Linked DNA regions of Cricetulus griseus. The protein of the gene in region 1 purifies or fractionates together with the protein of each later gene. This does not show direct contact. Links are inferred from orthologs where the notes say so. Each region holds a gene or a part of one and is shown on either strand. Other genes may lie near its edges.

Region 1 (4,513 bases):
TCCCTTCCTAGCCTAGGCCAGGGAGGATGGGAGGTCCTCACTAAACAGGCTCAGGGTCTGGGAGGATGGGTAGGATGGAAAGAACCGCCCCGGCCAAGAGGATCAAGGCCAGTCTGGTTGCATAGCAAGACCCCAAACAAAAAATTAATGGAAAAAAGCACATTACATTCCTGGTCTGGCCCAAGGCTGGTCACCACATCACAGCTTGAAATACCCCCATCTCCTGTCATTTAGACATGAGAAAGATGTTTTCCTCCCCCTCTTTTATTATTTCTTTTCTTTCTTCTTTTTGGAGGGAGTGAAGGGATAGACATGAGGTCTGAGGAAAATTCAGGAACCACTGAAATAGGCTGGGGAGGTTTGGCTCTGAAGATATTGGAAAAACAGACTGCTTGCTGGCGTGGTTGTGGGTATGAGACACCCAGCATCAGGAGGGCAGGCTGGGAAGGCTCAGCTGTCATGGAGCAACCCACAGGGGACATGCTCAGGCCTAGGAGAAAGGCAAGGCTCCCCTCTTCCGGTCCTTTTCTGCACTGTCCCACTGCAGCTAAGACTGGCTTCTCTTTGGATTCCTGCCACCCATCCCTTTAGGATCTATCTTCTGCACACAAAGGTGGCCCCTACTTTTCAAAGCCAGTATCAGGTTCCAAATGTCAAGTTCATAAATCACTGGTCTCAAGAGAGAGAAGTGGCAACATCATAATAATCCCAGCGGTCCCCTGAGATCACAGCCTGCCATAAAAGATTTTGAGGAGTTTCATCTCACCCTTCTTCTACTCCCACCCAATAGCCAAACCCAGTTGGGTACCTCACTTGATAATGTCCTGTCACTTGACCCTGGATATGTCACTTAACCTTTCATGGAGCAGATTTCTTGTCATCAGTAGGTAAAATGGGGATAACGCTTCCTTCTCAGGCTACATCATGGGCCTAGGGGAGGCCCTACAGACTGTAAAATACTTTACACGGAGACTGTAACAGGATGGGGCTTTGTCCCTATGGGACCCAAGGGTAGGACAGGTAACAATAATTAACTTACCCCCAAATGGTAAGAGAGATAGAAGAGGGCAGGAAGAAAACGGGAGGGGCGAAGGGGATACAGTACTATCTCAGCTTGCAGTCTTGGGTAAGTCACTGCCCTGGCACTCTCATCTGCCCAATGTGAACAGAAGAGCTTAGCATCTACAGTTGGTGCACAAGCGGTTCGCAACCCTAGAACCAAGTCCTTCCAGAATGAGATTGTTCTGTTTCATGAGGTATTAGTCAACCGGCTCTGTCTAGCCCGGGCAGGGAGCTCTGGATAGAACAGAGTAGCAGGCAGGAGACAAGTTAGACAGATTGCAGACCAGCAGGCAACAGACTGAGTAGACACAGGGTGGTCATGGGCACCTCCCTTCAGCCCCTTCCAGATGCCATGGGGGCAGATGGGGGACGCAGACTTGCTACGGCACTTTGTGTTCCTCCTAACCCTAAACTTTCACCTCATCTAGGCAGACAGTTGGGGACTAAACAACAGACAGGCAGGGGAGACAGCCGGCTAGGGTAGGGCAATGAAAACTCCCCAAAGGACAGGGCGGGGTTGGGTGGGGCCAGCAGTCAAGACTGTTTTGTGATGCTGGAGCAGATGAGCTGGGCAAGCCAAGCCTGAGAGCTGGCCTGCCGGTCTGCTGAGCTGGGGAAACACCAGGAGGGAATGCCCCTCTGACATCCTCTTAAGATGTATGGGTGTGGCGACTCCTAGAAACTCAAGAGCAGTGTCTGTAGGCTGCAGAACACTCCCGAGCAGCCCTGGACAGTATTAAAACTTACACTGGCTGGAGGATGATAAGCACCTGGTGGCAGGCTCCAAGGGAATAGTGCACTTTTGTTTTGGTTAAAAGTCTCTGGTGGTACATAACGCGTCTCTACCGTCATCTCTCTTGAGGGGCTGCCTGGCCAAACCCTTTCCTGCCTGCCTGGGATCAAATGCTGCCCATTTGTGTGTAGGGGGTGTGACCTCTCAGAAGCAGGACACAAGGGTCGTCCTTGTATCTCCGTAGGGAGCGGACACGGTTGCTTTTCCCAGACTTCCAAACGCGGAGAGGTAGGGAGTGTCTACTAGTTCCTCTTTCCCCACCCCACCCCACCCCGCCCCGCTCCGCTCTGCTCCGCAGCCTCTCCAGGTGAACGGCCATTCCTGCGGCCCCGCCTGGCCGTTTCTAGGAGGGTGGGGAGGCCTCAAGCCCAGAGTACCTCATTACCCTGGAAATGCAGAAACTCCGGACTCATACCACCTAGAGGCGCCGACGGGCACCTTCCCCTCCCTCCTCTCCCTAACTCTGCCAGAGTTCTCTCCAGCCAAGATAGTTATCGCTTTTGAAAAAGAATCAAGACAACCTAGTCTTTCAGGTAGTTTGGAGAGAGGCACGGACGTTCTCACGGGGACCGAGAGTCGAGACTGTGAACAAGGAAAGCCCGTCCTCCAGGTGCAGGACTCCCCGACCCGCTTTCTCTCCAGAGTGAGGGTGCCAGGAGCCCCTCGTGGGAACCCCTTTGCCACTGTGGGACCACCGAGGTGGGAGACACTCACTGCCCTGCTCGCCAGGAGCCTCACGGGCCAGGGAGGGCCTCGAGTTACTCGAAACGGGGTGCTCCGCTCCTCCTCCCCGACACTTCCCCTGTAGCAATCGGGGTGCTCCGGGTGGCAGCGGACACAGACCCCATCTCAGATCCTCGGCGGCGAGGGGCCCGGGAGCGGAGTGCACAGCCCGGGCCACTAGGACCGCGCTTCTCCCGCCCACCTGCCCGTCCAGACCGTGGCCAGTTGGCAGCCGCCGCGCCTTTCTCTTCTCGCCCCGAGTCCGCCTGGCGCTCGCAGTACCAGCTCCCCGAGCTGCCGGGCGCCGGGACACCCACGGCTCCGGACGCCGCCGTCCGGAGCTCGAGAACAGGTGGCCTCAGAGAGGAGCGCGTGACAGTCGCCTCTCACTCACCCAGAAGATGAAGTTAAATCCGAAGAGCAGGTATTTGATGCACTTGCTACCCCCTTTGACCGGCATGGTGTAAGCGGGACTTGCGTGGGACAAGAGGCGCGCACGACTGGGACAGAAGGTTCGCGGCAGCGGACTGAGAAACGCTGAGGCTGGGGGCTGGCCTACGTCTCCACTTTTAAAAAGTGCCACTCCTTACGGCCATCCGCCAGCTGCGATGCGCATGTGCGGAGGATGCCGACCCCGCCCCCGGCCCACCTGCCCCGCCCATGCCTCGTCCCCTCCCCAGCCCCAGGTTCTAAGACTCTGACTCCACCGGGGTGCGGAGCCCGCCCTGCACCTTGCCCTTCCGGGACTCGTTCCTGAGACCCTCTTTCCTTTCTTCTTTCTCCTTCCCACCGTCTTGGGGTCTCTCCAGACCTCCAGACCCGGCTACTTTTACCCGGGAGCCTTTCCTGTTCGTTTCGGGCGCTGCGCCTAAGAGTTTACGGTGGAAGACCCCCGGGTGTCATCTAATCTAAAGAACCTTTTTAGATTCCCGCATCAAGTCTGCCGGCCCCTGTTTGCCTGGCCTGCTTTCTCTCCAACCCCTCCTTGTAAACCTTTCCGGACTGAACATACTTATTTGAGCACTGTGGCCGCTGGAACGCTCCGGGTGCCAATCTGAGCGTTTCTCATTTACTCAAAAAAATTAATTCATTCACAGAGTCGAGTTGAAATTCGTCATCCAGTGTTTACTCCTCACATTCTCTACCCCACTTGGTGCCACACCCTTACTCTGCCCCACCTCGAAGCCTGCAGGTGGTGTGTGGCTGGCTGCCCCTGCCTCCTTTGCCTGTGAGATCTTATTGTGTTTATTCTTTATTTAAGTTTACACTTAGTATTTTGAGACAGAATCTTACTATGCAGCTCTGTCTGGCTTGGGTCTGGCTTTGTAAACCAGGCTGGCCTTGAACTCATCATGCTTCGTAATTTGTTTCTGTAGCCCTGCGACCTGGATTTGCGTATGTAGCTCAGGCTATCCTCAAACCTCTATCTTCCTGCCTCTGCATTGCTGGTGCTGGTGTGACAGCCATGGACCACCATATCCTGCTCTGAGGTTCTCTAAATTCTTCCTTGATTCTTCTAATTTGGGTGGGGAGGTCCTTTTCAACATCCTTTGCAACATTCTTTCCCTCACCCCGCCAGAAAGTTTCCTTGTAGGTCTTTATTGAAAAAGTAAACCATACTCATCACAGAAACATCAGAAAATGCCAAGAAGCAAAAAGAATGCGAGTTAAAATTTCACCCGGGTTACACAGTGCTTTGGAGGCGATCTGGGCTACATGAGACCCTGTCTCCAAAAACAAAAACCAAACAAGACAAATTGTCACGAAGCAAAACCAGCCTCTGTTAGCTTAGCACAGCTCTCGCTTCTGTATTTGTCAGTGGACTGGTTTCATTAATCGATCCACTTAAAAAGATTTTTTTTTTCACAGTCCACTTTGGAAAGGTACTTCACTGAGGGCAGGAGTTGAGAGCAACAGATTCTATCATCTTTTTTC
Region 2 (3,996 bases), on another chromosome or scaffold:
AACAGTTCCTTGACCTCAGCAGTTTATAATCCATGTGAGTCATAAATAAAAGCAGCAAGAAATAAAACAAAATTGCTAAAGGTGATGGAGATAAAGAGAGCCCTGGAAAGTGGAAGGCTCTGTTTAAGTCGAATGATTTTTCTTATAGAAGGCAAAGCGCTTGGAGCAAAGAAAATGTAGACTTTTCTAATAACCTTACCATTAATCCAGGGGATATATCTTGAATTCCTACTGTGTTCCAGGATCTTGGGGATGAGACTCCCAAGCAAAGAGTAGTTGCAGAGTGAATAACTGGTGTAGGAAAGATGTATGGGAGCTCAGAGAAGGAGAGCCATCATCCCTAGGGACACTGAGGGTCGCAGACCATCCCAAACACTGTTGTACCACAAGGGCATCCACCTATATGGTAGTTAAAAGCCTGTGGAGGGGGAGTGGAAAGGAAGGAAGGCTACCAAGGGGTTCTAATACATGTTCCTTAAGGAGGCAAGTGAGGAGGAGCCTGCAGCCAGTAATGATACAAGCGTGGAAACACTGTGGGGAAGCGGGTGGTGATATTGAGCAGACTTACCAGGGCCAGGTTCACTATGTGATGGCTTCATGGTTGGCAGAGTTACAGGGTGAGTTATTTGTGGCAAGAAAAGGAAGTCCTTTGGGGAGTCTAAGCTAGGGGGTGTTGGCTGACTGAATACAGATTCAGTGGAAAATAGCAAATGATGATAAGAATATGAATGAGGACCTGGGGACCTTGCATTTGGGGCACAGCCAGGAATGGCAGGAACCTGAGCCCTAGTGGGCCTCAGACTGTGGATTGTCCTCTGTGTTAGAACTTTGCATTACTGTTCCAGTGGGAGCTTCGGAGGTCTGTGGGCTTGCTTGGCCTCCCAGAGACAGTCTTGATAGGATGTGGACACTTAAGTTTCTGAGATCACCCTCAAAGATTCCAACTGCCTGTAGCACCTGCTAGCATCCCTCATCCTATGAATAAGTGAGGATTCTGACCCTGGGCATTTAGCTTCCTGCCTTGGGCCTTTTCTATTTTTAAATTGAACCTTATTTTTTAATGTATATGGGTATTTTGCCTGTATGTTTGTCTGTGCACCGCATGTGTACTATGTTCTCTGAGGCCATAAGAGGGGATTGATTCCTGGAATTGGAGTTACAGATGGTTGTGATTGCAGTGTGGGTTTTGGGAATTGAACCCAGGTCCATTGCAAGAGCAGCAAGTGTTCGTAACTTCTCAACCACCTTGGCAGTTTTCTTAAGGCAGATATAGGAAGAAGTGATTTAGAAACACTCTTATAGGGTCTTTGCTGCCCAACACAAAGACTTGATTTCTATCCTAGGAGTTGATAAGATGGACAATTTGTCACAATATGAGCGGTTCTTGGCTTGTTCCCTTTGCCAATTCTTATGTTGCTGTGTTTTTGCTCTCTCATCTTCAGAACCAGAATACCAAGTCTACCTGAATGCGTCTAAGGTCCCTGGGTTTTCAGATGACCCCACAGAACTGCAATGCCGGGTGATAGACATGAAGCGCGTGGAGGCCGGTGTCCGACTTACCGTGTCATGGTACTACAGAATGAACCGTCGCATTGGTGACGAAGTGGTGGCCAGTGAGCTTCTTGCAGTCATGGATGGAGACTGGACTCTAAGATACGGAGAAAGGAGCAAGCAGCGGGCCCAGAGTGGAGAGTTTATATTTTCTAAGGAGCACACAGACACATTCAGTTTCCGGATCCAAAGGACTACAGAGGAAGACAGGGGCAATTATTACTGTGTTGTGTCTGCCTGGACCAGGCAGAGAAACAACAGCTGGGTCAAAAGTAAGGACGTCTTCTCCAAGCCTGTCAACATATTCTGGGCCTCAGAAGGTAGGAACTTCATGTTGGTCGTCGTTCCGTTTTGTTTTAGTTTAAGTCATCTGTCTGTGTCTGTTTCAGTTACCATCACCCTCCACTCACACTGCAAATCTATACTGATACTTGAGGAAACTGTAATCCCCCATGATCCTCCTTGCCCCCCTTTATAGACTCTGTGTCCCCAAGCTACGAGGGAAGGGCCTCTGCAACTCACTGTTATTAGCAAAGCCTTGCATTTTCTGCACCCCATTGTTTCTTTTTCTTCTTTTCAGCTGCCTGCCTCCTCTCTGAGAGCAGTTGTCCCAGAAACCCTCCTAAGTGATAAAGTTTTCCTCTCGCATTCCTTGCAAAGAAGTCAGGTACCCTCCTGTTCCTCAGTGAGATTTCTACCATTTCCCCTCTGAATCTCCTTGCCCAGGGCCATATCTCTTCCTCCTCCCTCTTTCTCATAGCCCCTCTTTCTCATAGCCCCTCCTATCACTAACTTGATTGACTCCTGGGTCTTCTGTTCATTTGCTGGAGATGCCAGCCTTGCTTTCACGGCCACTCTGTTACTACTCCTATCTGGCTAGCTTTATTGAAGTCATCCTGGAAGATTTCAAAAAGCAAAGATCCCAGTAGAAATTATGTTTGGATTGGTCCGAGGTGTGTGTAGTCTGGACGCTGGTATTGAATCCTCTCGAGTAGCTACCATGGAGAACCCTGGTGTAGACAAGGCTTTCATTGTCATTCCCCTGTCCTTGTCTAAGTTCTCTCCAAGTGTCACATCCTCTGTCCTTTTGGGTCCTTCATTCCCAATTCTGAAAATCAGACCAGCTCACTTTTGATAGCTGAAACCCAACTCCTCCATAGCTGAAGTTTAACATGCCTGGTTCTCTGTGCACACAGTCTTTCTAGATTATTCCCTGTAGTGTTTCAGACCTATTCATCCTACCATCTGACATTGTCCTTCTTCCTTACTTGGTCTTCGCTTCTCTCTTACCAGAAGTCCACCATGTACCTGTGGGTCCAAGGCCAAGGGCCAAGGGGTAAGGAGAATTATATGATCACCACAGTGATATCTTAACCTAAGTTCCCAGTCAGTCATGTCCCTCCTTTGCATCCTTAACTCCCTAGCCACCGGCTTGGTCTACCCTATATTCTACTTAAAACACAACCCTATTTAAAGCCAACTTTGCTGTCTCCTTGGCTGCATATGCAGAGCTAGAGGCACTTGAAGGAGAAAACATTCCAACAGTGGTCTGGTTTCACTTTAAATCTCCAATCCCTTCTGTCATATGGGCTCTCAACATTGAGAGCCATTCTGGTTTCCTTCATGTGTTTACTTCCCCACTCTCCTAAGTGATAATTGCATGCCACCTGCTCTCTCTACAAACATCCTCCCCCAGCCTCCATCAGCTTCTGGCCTTGCTTCTCCATCCCCTATAAAAAGATAGTCAAAGGAGAACTTCATCTGCCAGCAGCATTGAGCCTGTTACTCACCCTAATGTCTTAGCAACGGTCAGCCCCTTTCACAGCTCAGGCACATGACCCTCTCTCTTATGTCTTTGATAGTCTCTCTCCTCTGGTCCTTCCCAACCAGCCTGTTAACATTGCTGTTAGGAAAACTAATTTTGATTGTTTTGTTAAACAGGGTTTCTCTGTTTAACACTCCTGGCTGTCCTAGAACTCGCTTTGTAGACCAGGCTGGCCTGAAACTCACTGAGCTCTGCCTGCCTCTGCCTCCCAGGTGCTGGAATTAAAGACGTGTGCCACCACCACCTGGCTATCTTCTTCTTTCATCTTTCTGTTTCTTATAACCCTTGCCCACCGCTCTGTCCTTTGGTAGCAGTGGATTTGATTGAACTATATTTAATTTCTCTATTTCTCCTCCATTTTTCTTTGGGACCTACTTTCCCCTCACTGCACATATTAAGATTGCTAGACATCAACACACTACAGAAACCTGTTATCATTTTTCTTCCTTCCAGAAATGCCTTGGCTTTCCCATGGCTTGTAGGATGCCTTCCCCAGATTTGTTTCTGTATTCACTGGATGCTGCATCTCAGCCTCCTTTGCTGCTTCCTGTCCATCCTCCCAGTTCCCATACAGGAAACGTCAGGACAGAGTTCCTGAATTCCTGTTTACCTCCCTTAGT
Region 3 (3,996 bases), on another chromosome or scaffold:
TGCTAATTTCCTTGGGCCACTGTATATTCAAGGTCGCTGTGCCGAGGTTTTTAAGAGGTTTACCTAAGTTAATCACCTGTCACAAAACAACATTATTTTGCTACAATATAATCCTTTTAAGATAAAATTACAAGATTCTTATCATAAAAAAAAAATAGAAGGAAAAAGGAAAGGTCAAAAAGAAAGGATTGCTAGTTCAATCCAGGGGTAACTATCATATGTAACAAAACCCACAGTGCAGTTCTGACATGTTCCCAAAAGCACAAGGAAAAGTCCTGGGTGCACTGGCGAATTGCTCAGCGAGCATCCTACCTGGCAGATGACAAAGCCTCTGCTTTGGTACCCAAATCCTGCTCTGGAAAATGTCCCTACCATGAAAATGAAGCAATCTCTTCATCTATTTGTACACAGGGAGACAGCTCAGGGCAAGTGCTGGGAGTGGAGTAGCTTTGTCCAACGGGGCCCTGAGCATCATGGCACACAATTCTAGAACCTCATCTGCCTGACTGCACAGAGCCCACACCAGCCGGCATTTCTTGAGAGAATTAGCCTCTTCAGTGTGCTGGATTTGGGTCAAGTCTGTTCTTGCCATTTCAGGCTTTAACCTCATTGCTCACCAGCATTTTAGGAACTCAATTTGCACCATGGAGACCCGAATCCATATGCATCATAGGCAGACATCACAGTCCATGTTCAAGTTTGTTAGACTGGACCCAGAGTCACAGTGGTTGCCCACTGTGAGAGCTCATCATCTGCTTTCTTTGCTGGCACCATCACACAATTGGGCTTGTGAAAGGGAGTAAATGTGAATATTCCTTCAGCCAAGAGCACCAGAAAAAATGACTTTCTTATAGAGGAAGAAACCAACTATACATTCTAAGGTCAACTACAAATTACCCGGAACTATTTCTTTGTTTTATAGACTCTGAGCAAAAAAATTAAGTATTACTTTGTACCTACACCACACATATATTACAATTCCCTGGTAAGGGTTAGCAGAGTTGGATTCGGAACCACAAGTCTCTGCTGAGTCATAGTTCTTCTCTACGTGGGAGGATAAAGTGTTCACTGTTAAAACCCAGCAAACATGTTCAACTGACTGATCATTAAAACGACATATCAAGACTGTATCTAGGACCGATTGCTCCGACTTACCCTGAATTCATACTCTATTAAACTTCCTACTTCGTCTTCAGATTTCATAGCTTGTTCACCAACAACTGTACCTCCAAAATACACCTGCGAAGGTTTAGCGACTCTGTCAAATTAAAAAAACACCCGTTTTAGTGAGAATTATAAATGGTCCTTTCAAACATTGATTTGTTATGCCAAACACAACACTTACCCGGAGACCGATAAAAGCAGTTCAATAACCACTTTTGCTTTCGCTGTAATTGGAGCCAAATTATCTTGATTGCTTGTTCTGAAAATGAAAGGGGAAACAATGGGTTTTATTTGAACAGTCAGTTTTCTCATTACAATTACATTTCTTTTATGAGTTAGATCAGTGCTAATTCAGTGACTCTGGGGTTCTCATGAAATAAGTATGAATGGGAAGGTTGAAGTAACTCTTACGTTTCCAACTTCAGATTAATATCCAGATCTGTGGTGTCAAATGTGACCTCAGTTGTACTTAAAATCAGATAAAAAGTAACCTAAAGAAAATACATATAAACAACTGTTACCAAGGGCCAGGCCCCTGGGCACAGTACAGGTAATCAGAACAGTACGACAGAGCGCGTGGAGGCATCACCTACACTGGAATTTCTCTTAAAAGGATTCCCGAGCTCACAGTCAGCTTGAGAGCCATTCTGGTTGGCGACACAGCTCAGCTGCTTCTCCTGGGGCAGAAAGGCATGGGGTCATGGTTTATTCACGGACTGTGTGGTCTTGTTCTTTCCCTCCCCGCTGGTTTCTCAAAAACACTTACAGGGAAAGCCCTCAGCTCTCTGTATGCAGAGTATGTGAGAGTGTCAGGGAAAGTTGCAACGAGTTTGGCTTCGTGAGCGTCGTCACCATCTTTTCTGGGATTCCTTGGATCAGATGGGCCGTTGGTCACTGTTATTTCCAGAGCTATATCCTTCTGATCTTTTAGGACTAATTCTGGGATGCCTTTCTGACTATTAAAAAAGAAAGAAAAACACAAAGAGAATCTGAACACGTGCAATTCTCTTTCTAACCAAAGCCTAGAGGTCAGAGTAACTTCTCATGATTCTTACATTGGAAGGTAAGAGAATTTGTCTTGACTGCCTTCTCGGGTACAGAATTTATACTCTAGTTTAAGGTTGCTGTTACAGACATTGTCATCTCCACACCCCTCCTTTAAGAAGTGTACCTGTAGGGAACCAAATGCAGAGAGGTCAGGTCCTAAAAGTCTTCACAGCTCATTTTCCTGTGGTACTTTACCCTCCTTTGCCAAACACCTGGTTCTGCTGTGTCCTCTATAAAGACACGTTGACCAGGCGATACAATTCCCAGCACCAAAACAGTAATCAAGATGACAATAATAGCTGGGTGGTGGTGGTGGTGAGTGTTTTTATCCAGCACTCAGGAGGCAGAGGCAGGCGGATTGCTGAGTTCGAGGCCAGCCTGGTCTATAGAGCGAATTCCAAGACAGCCAGGGCAACACAGAGAAACCCTGTCTTGGAAAACAAAACAAAATAATCATGATGATGACTCAAGGTCAAGCTGTCAAACTTCTCTAGGCTCATCTTGAATCTCCACTCTGTCCTAGCACACTGACTTCGTCTTACATGACATGTCCAGCAGCGATAGAATACTTATTTTCTTCCTACAGTGACCTAAGCTGCATTAGGTAAAGTATTTCATCATGTCTAATTTTCTTTTGCTTTGCTAAGTTTTGCTATTCATTGAGTTTAATGTTTTAATAATATATATTATCATCACACTGTGCTATACTCAGTGGTACAATGAAGACAAATATTGCTAGGCCCCAAAATTCCATCTAACAGGCCAATTATGTATACAGAAATAAGTAGTTATTATTATTTTTTCTTAGATAGGGTCTCATCATGAACCCTGGCTGGCCTAGAACTTGTTGTATAGACCAGACTAGCCTTGATCTCACAGGCATCCTCCTGCCTCTGCCTCCCAAGTGCTGGGATTAAAGGCACACACAATACCACCAAACCTGGCCATAAGTAAGTGGCCTGTAAAGCAAATCCCTATTTCTATAACACTGGCAAAAACAGAAACCAGGATGGCTTACATCTGTCTGGACGGACTTGGCTTCATTCGAATTCAAGATGGGAAGAACTTCGGGAAGTGAATTGACCCGCCTGCGAGAGCTGGTCTCCTGGATCTCCACAGAGGCGGTGATGGGGATGGGACGCAGCTTGTCTCTGATGTTTTCCTGCAAAGTGAGGAGAGTCATGGGTGAGTGTGGTCAACGGTGGACAGACCTCCAAAGCAATGGCAGCGCATTGATGAGCAGCTTGTTGTTCAGAAACCTAAGCATCAGGAAAGCACTGTTCTCTGCAACACGGAGATGACTGCCACATGCTTGCTCACCTGCAGCCAGAGGGTCTCCTCCATGCATGCCCGCTGCTTCTGCCGGTTCAGAGTTAGCTCCTGAGTATACTTTGGCTCAGAACCTTGGTGTCGAAACTGAACTCTCGACGACAACCCAGACTTTCTTCTTTCTTTTTCAGCTTCAAGTATGCCCAAAATCGCTAGGTTGAAGTGAACAAACTGTGTTAACTTAGAAGTGTCGATGCACCCCCCCAACTACAAATAGGATGAGTTCTTCTACAGTATTTAAAACTCCACACACTAGCACTTTGCCCCCAACCTTTGCTTTTCTTTATTATTTCCTGGTAGGGGACCTTCTATCGAACTGTGAAGTTTTAAATCCAATTGTTCTTCCCCATTGCTGTTACCGGTTTGTTAAGTTAAATTTTCACTGGACCACCTGGGGGAGCTAGAGAACAAGCCAGAACCTTCCGCAGCAGCTAGGAATCAATCAGTTTCTGGCTG
Region 4 (2,910 bases), on another chromosome or scaffold:
GTTACCCCTATGGCTCTCAGCAAGACACATTACTTCTCTGGGCCTCAGTTTCCTTATCTGTACAAAAAGAAAATGATACTTGGCAAACTCATAGTGCTCAATAAATGTTAAATTACTAAATGAAAAGGGAAGACTGGATGCCGCCTGAAGCACAGAACAGCCGAGACTCTCCGGACCCGAGAACCCTCAGGCAGGGAGATGCAGCGGCTCTGTGTACACAGAGGACACAGGACCTCCCGACTGCTGTTGTCCCTAAGTAGGCAGCTGTGTTCCGAGGCTCCCATTCTGCTGTAGTCAGAGAATAATTAAGGTCAGGATGACAAAGACTGAGGCCCCAGGGCCTGGTGGGAGGAGTCTGGCCCGAGACTAGCCCAACCAGGAGAATGAGACTGAGGAGGGTGTGCCCCAGTCTGGGGAGCCTAGAAAGACTCTCTGGATGCTGTGAAAAGGGCCAAGCTCAGCTGGAACTCACCCTCTCTTCCTATGTGGAAGCCCCATTAGGAGTTGGCTCCTCACTGACATTTTAGGCAACAGATGGGACCCAGGCATCCCCTCCTGCAGTGGGTGGGTAGCAAGGCCCACCAAGGACAGATGGTGTTTATGGTGGGAAAAGAGGCCTGGGTTGTCCAGAATAGGTTGTCAAGCCCCAACAATCTCCCTACTAACAACCACCCCCTCCCCACGCACCCCCGCTGCTGCCTTTTATAGCTTCGTGGCAAGGGAAAACACAACCAGGCCTGGATTTTATAAAACCAGTTTATTCACATTTTAAAAAAACAAAACAAAACAAAAACTAGTTTGAGGACAGGAACTGGCCTTCCTACAGCATGAGTGTGAGACCAAGGACAGAGAACCCGAGGAAAGGTGTGAGGAACTGGGGAGCCGCAGCTTCCACTCTAGGCAGGGACAGGACAAATAAATTAAAGGAGGGCTGGGCGGAGGAGGGGAGGGTATCTAGGCAACCGGAGGAGGAGCGGCGCTGGCTGGAAGACAGTTGACACCTGCAGAAACTAGAGAGAGTATGTGGAGAAGGCTGAGGACCAGGCTCCCTTTGGCCCTCACCCTGCTACATGACCCTGCAGGACTGACTGAGCTGGCAGCTTCTTGTCCAGATGGAGCACACAGGAAGCCCGAGGAAGATGGGACTTGGGGTACCCTTTCCCTCACCTGGGGTGCTACAGATCACCGCTTCCGCAGCCTCTTCATAAAGCAGCAGGTGATCGTAGCAAGGACGCTGGCGCCAGTGACTAGAGCAACTCCTGTACCCACCAACAGGGGCACGAATAGGGTATCCAGGGCTGGAAGAAAGATGGCTCTGCTCAGAGAGTGCCATGGTCCTCCACCGGCTGTCGTACAGTTCTCTGGCACTCTCCCCAGCAGGTTTTCCTGACTCAGTGGGCCATCCTTGCCCACCTACAACCGCACCAATCAGCACGGAGGTCAGTTTGGGGCTCTTCATGCAAAGGGATACAGGAAAAGGATAGCAGGGAAGACAGGAAAGCAGAAGGGGGCAAACACGGTTGGAGCAGATGAGTGGAGGGTAGTTTCCACTCACCATGTGTGTAAGGGTAGACTGTGACAGGTCCGGAGCGCGCACTGCCCGCCTGGTACCAGCTATAGTCCGCATGCTGCACCCAGGCGCTTGGGGCGCAGTGGTATATGCCTTCATCCTCAGGCCCCAAACTGTGTAGTCTTAGACGATGGCTCTTGGGTCCCACCAGCTCCACACTGACAGGACCCCCTCCAGGCCGGACTCCCAGCTCTGCCACACCATCCTGACCCACTCCACCCACAAGCTGAGCAGGGCCAGAACTTAACTCGCCCTCCTCTGGTCTCTCCACCCACCAGCTGGCGGCTAGTCGAAGCCCCGGGGGACCACCACGCACAGAGATGTTGCATAGCAGGGAGGCAGTCTCTCCCCGGTACACAGTACCCCCTGCGAGCCATGCCACGGCCTCCAGCACCACACCTGCAGAGCAAGGGACATGGGGGTTACAGGGTGAAGGCTCAGGGGCTAGGAAATAAATTCTGTAACCTCTGAACCCTGCCAAGGGTTCAGCTCTCACCTTCTTCCCTCACATGCACAGGGAGGGGCCGGGAACGAGCGCTGGCAGCTTCACGAAGCCGGGTCCCAGACCCTCGAACATAGGCTTTGGCGAGGCAGCGATAGGTGCCTGCATCACCAGGCCTGGCAGCCTCCAATCGTAGCCGGTAGGTTCTGGATGCCACTTTCTCCATGGCAATGTGGCGGCCCTCGTAGCCAGGGCCCAGGCTGCCTACACCTTCTGTGTCCAGCTGGGCCACCAGGCGGCCAGGCCCAGGAGCCCCTGCAGGAGCCATCTCCCAGCCCACCGAGTACGCAGCATGCCGGCCTGCTGGGGGCAGTGCCCCTGACACATTGCATAGCAGTTCCAAGGGTTCCCCTGGGCCAATCCGATGCTCACCAGGTCCCACTGTCACTGCTAGCTGGCTGGCTGAAACACAGCAGGGGAAGGAAGGAGTCACAGAGATGCCTGGGGCCCGTCCTCAATACCTCTTTGCAAAAAAACGTAGAGGCCTGTTATCTGTCCCTCACCCCAGGACCTGAATTTCACCCTTCCACCATAGCCCTTGTATCTCCACATTCAATATCTGAGCAGAGAAACCATGGATAGAGAGTGAGTAATGCCTGGACGGCTGGCTCACTCCAGGGAAGATGATGTAGCAGGATGATGGTCATGTAGCACCACCCCTGATGCCCACTGAGATACCCCCTCAGGGGGACATGTGACACTCACACAATGTCTGCACATCCACATGGGCCAGGACTGCCCTCTTCTCTGCGATCTGGACCCAGGAACCGTCAGGATCCTGAATCCATTCAGCAGCAGTGCAGTGGTAGGTGCCCGAGTCTGCAGCCTGGGCACCCCC

Evidence for each region.
Region 2: the proteins of Cd9 (region 1) and Ptgfrn purify together in Homo sapiens (co-immunoprecipitation; 8 studies listed by BioGRID and IntAct, with this or other methods). This does not show direct contact. The link is inferred for Cricetulus griseus from reciprocal best matches to the Homo sapiens genes CD9 and PTGFRN.
Region 3: the proteins of Cd9 (region 1) and Itga6 purify together in Homo sapiens (co-immunoprecipitation; 3 studies listed by BioGRID and IntAct, with this or other methods). This does not show direct contact. The link is inferred for Cricetulus griseus from reciprocal best matches to the Homo sapiens genes CD9 and ITGA6.
Region 4: the proteins of Cd9 (region 1) and Igsf8 purify together in Homo sapiens (affinity purification with mass spectrometry; 5 studies listed by BioGRID and IntAct, counting the BioPlex papers as one, with this or other methods). This does not show direct contact. The link is inferred for Cricetulus griseus from reciprocal best matches to the Homo sapiens genes CD9 and IGSF8.

What each region holds. Positions count from the first base shown.
Region 1 is NC_048601.1:20,948,716-20,953,228, reverse strand, and holds the start of Cd9 (CD9 antigen), read right to left. Parts: upstream 3,190-4,513; 5' UTR 3,039-3,189; coding exon 2,973-3,038; exon of another isoform or gene 2,097-2,972; intron 2,084-2,096; exon of another isoform or gene 1,625-2,083; intron 1-1,624. UniProt on the Homo sapiens protein: Integral membrane protein associated with integrins, which regulates different processes, such as sperm-egg fusion, platelet activation and aggregation, and cell adhesion.
Region 2 is NW_023276806.1:55,916,258-55,920,253, forward strand, and holds part of Ptgfrn (prostaglandin F2 receptor negative regulator), read left to right. Parts: intron 1-1,442; coding exon 1,443-1,871; intron 1,872-3,996. UniProt on the Homo sapiens protein: Inhibits the binding of prostaglandin F2-alpha (PGF2-alpha) to its specific FP receptor, by decreasing the receptor number rather than the affinity constant. Functional coupling with the prostaglandin F2-alpha receptor seems to occur.
Region 3 is NC_048599.1:103,330,180-103,334,175, forward strand, and holds part of Itga6 (integrin alpha-6), read right to left. Parts: intron 3,693-3,996; coding exon 3,532-3,692; intron 3,374-3,531; coding exon 3,230-3,373; intron 2,336-3,229; coding exon 2,220-2,335; intron 2,121-2,219; coding exon 1,931-2,120; intron 1,842-1,930; coding exon 1,758-1,841; intron 1,656-1,757; coding exon 1,576-1,655; intron 1,424-1,575; coding exon 1,346-1,423; intron 1,259-1,345; coding exon 1,156-1,258; intron 77-1,155; coding exon 1-76. UniProt on the Homo sapiens protein: Integrin alpha-6/beta-1 (ITGA6:ITGB1) is a receptor for laminin on platelets. Integrin alpha-6/beta-1 (ITGA6:ITGB1) is present in oocytes and is involved in sperm-egg fusion.
Region 4 is NC_048598.1:20,542,671-20,545,580, forward strand, and holds the end of Igsf8 (immunoglobulin superfamily member 8), read right to left. Parts: coding exon 2,778-2,910; intron 2,475-2,777; coding exon 2,067-2,474; intron 1,970-2,066; coding exon 1,556-1,969; intron 1,299-1,555; coding exon 1,183-1,298; 3' UTR 1,168-1,182; exon of another isoform or gene 1,011-1,167; 3' UTR 739-1,010; downstream 1-738. UniProt on the Homo sapiens protein: Member of the immunoglobulin superfamily (IgSF) that links tetraspanin-enriched microdomains to the actin cytoskeleton and plays several important roles in innate and adaptive immunity.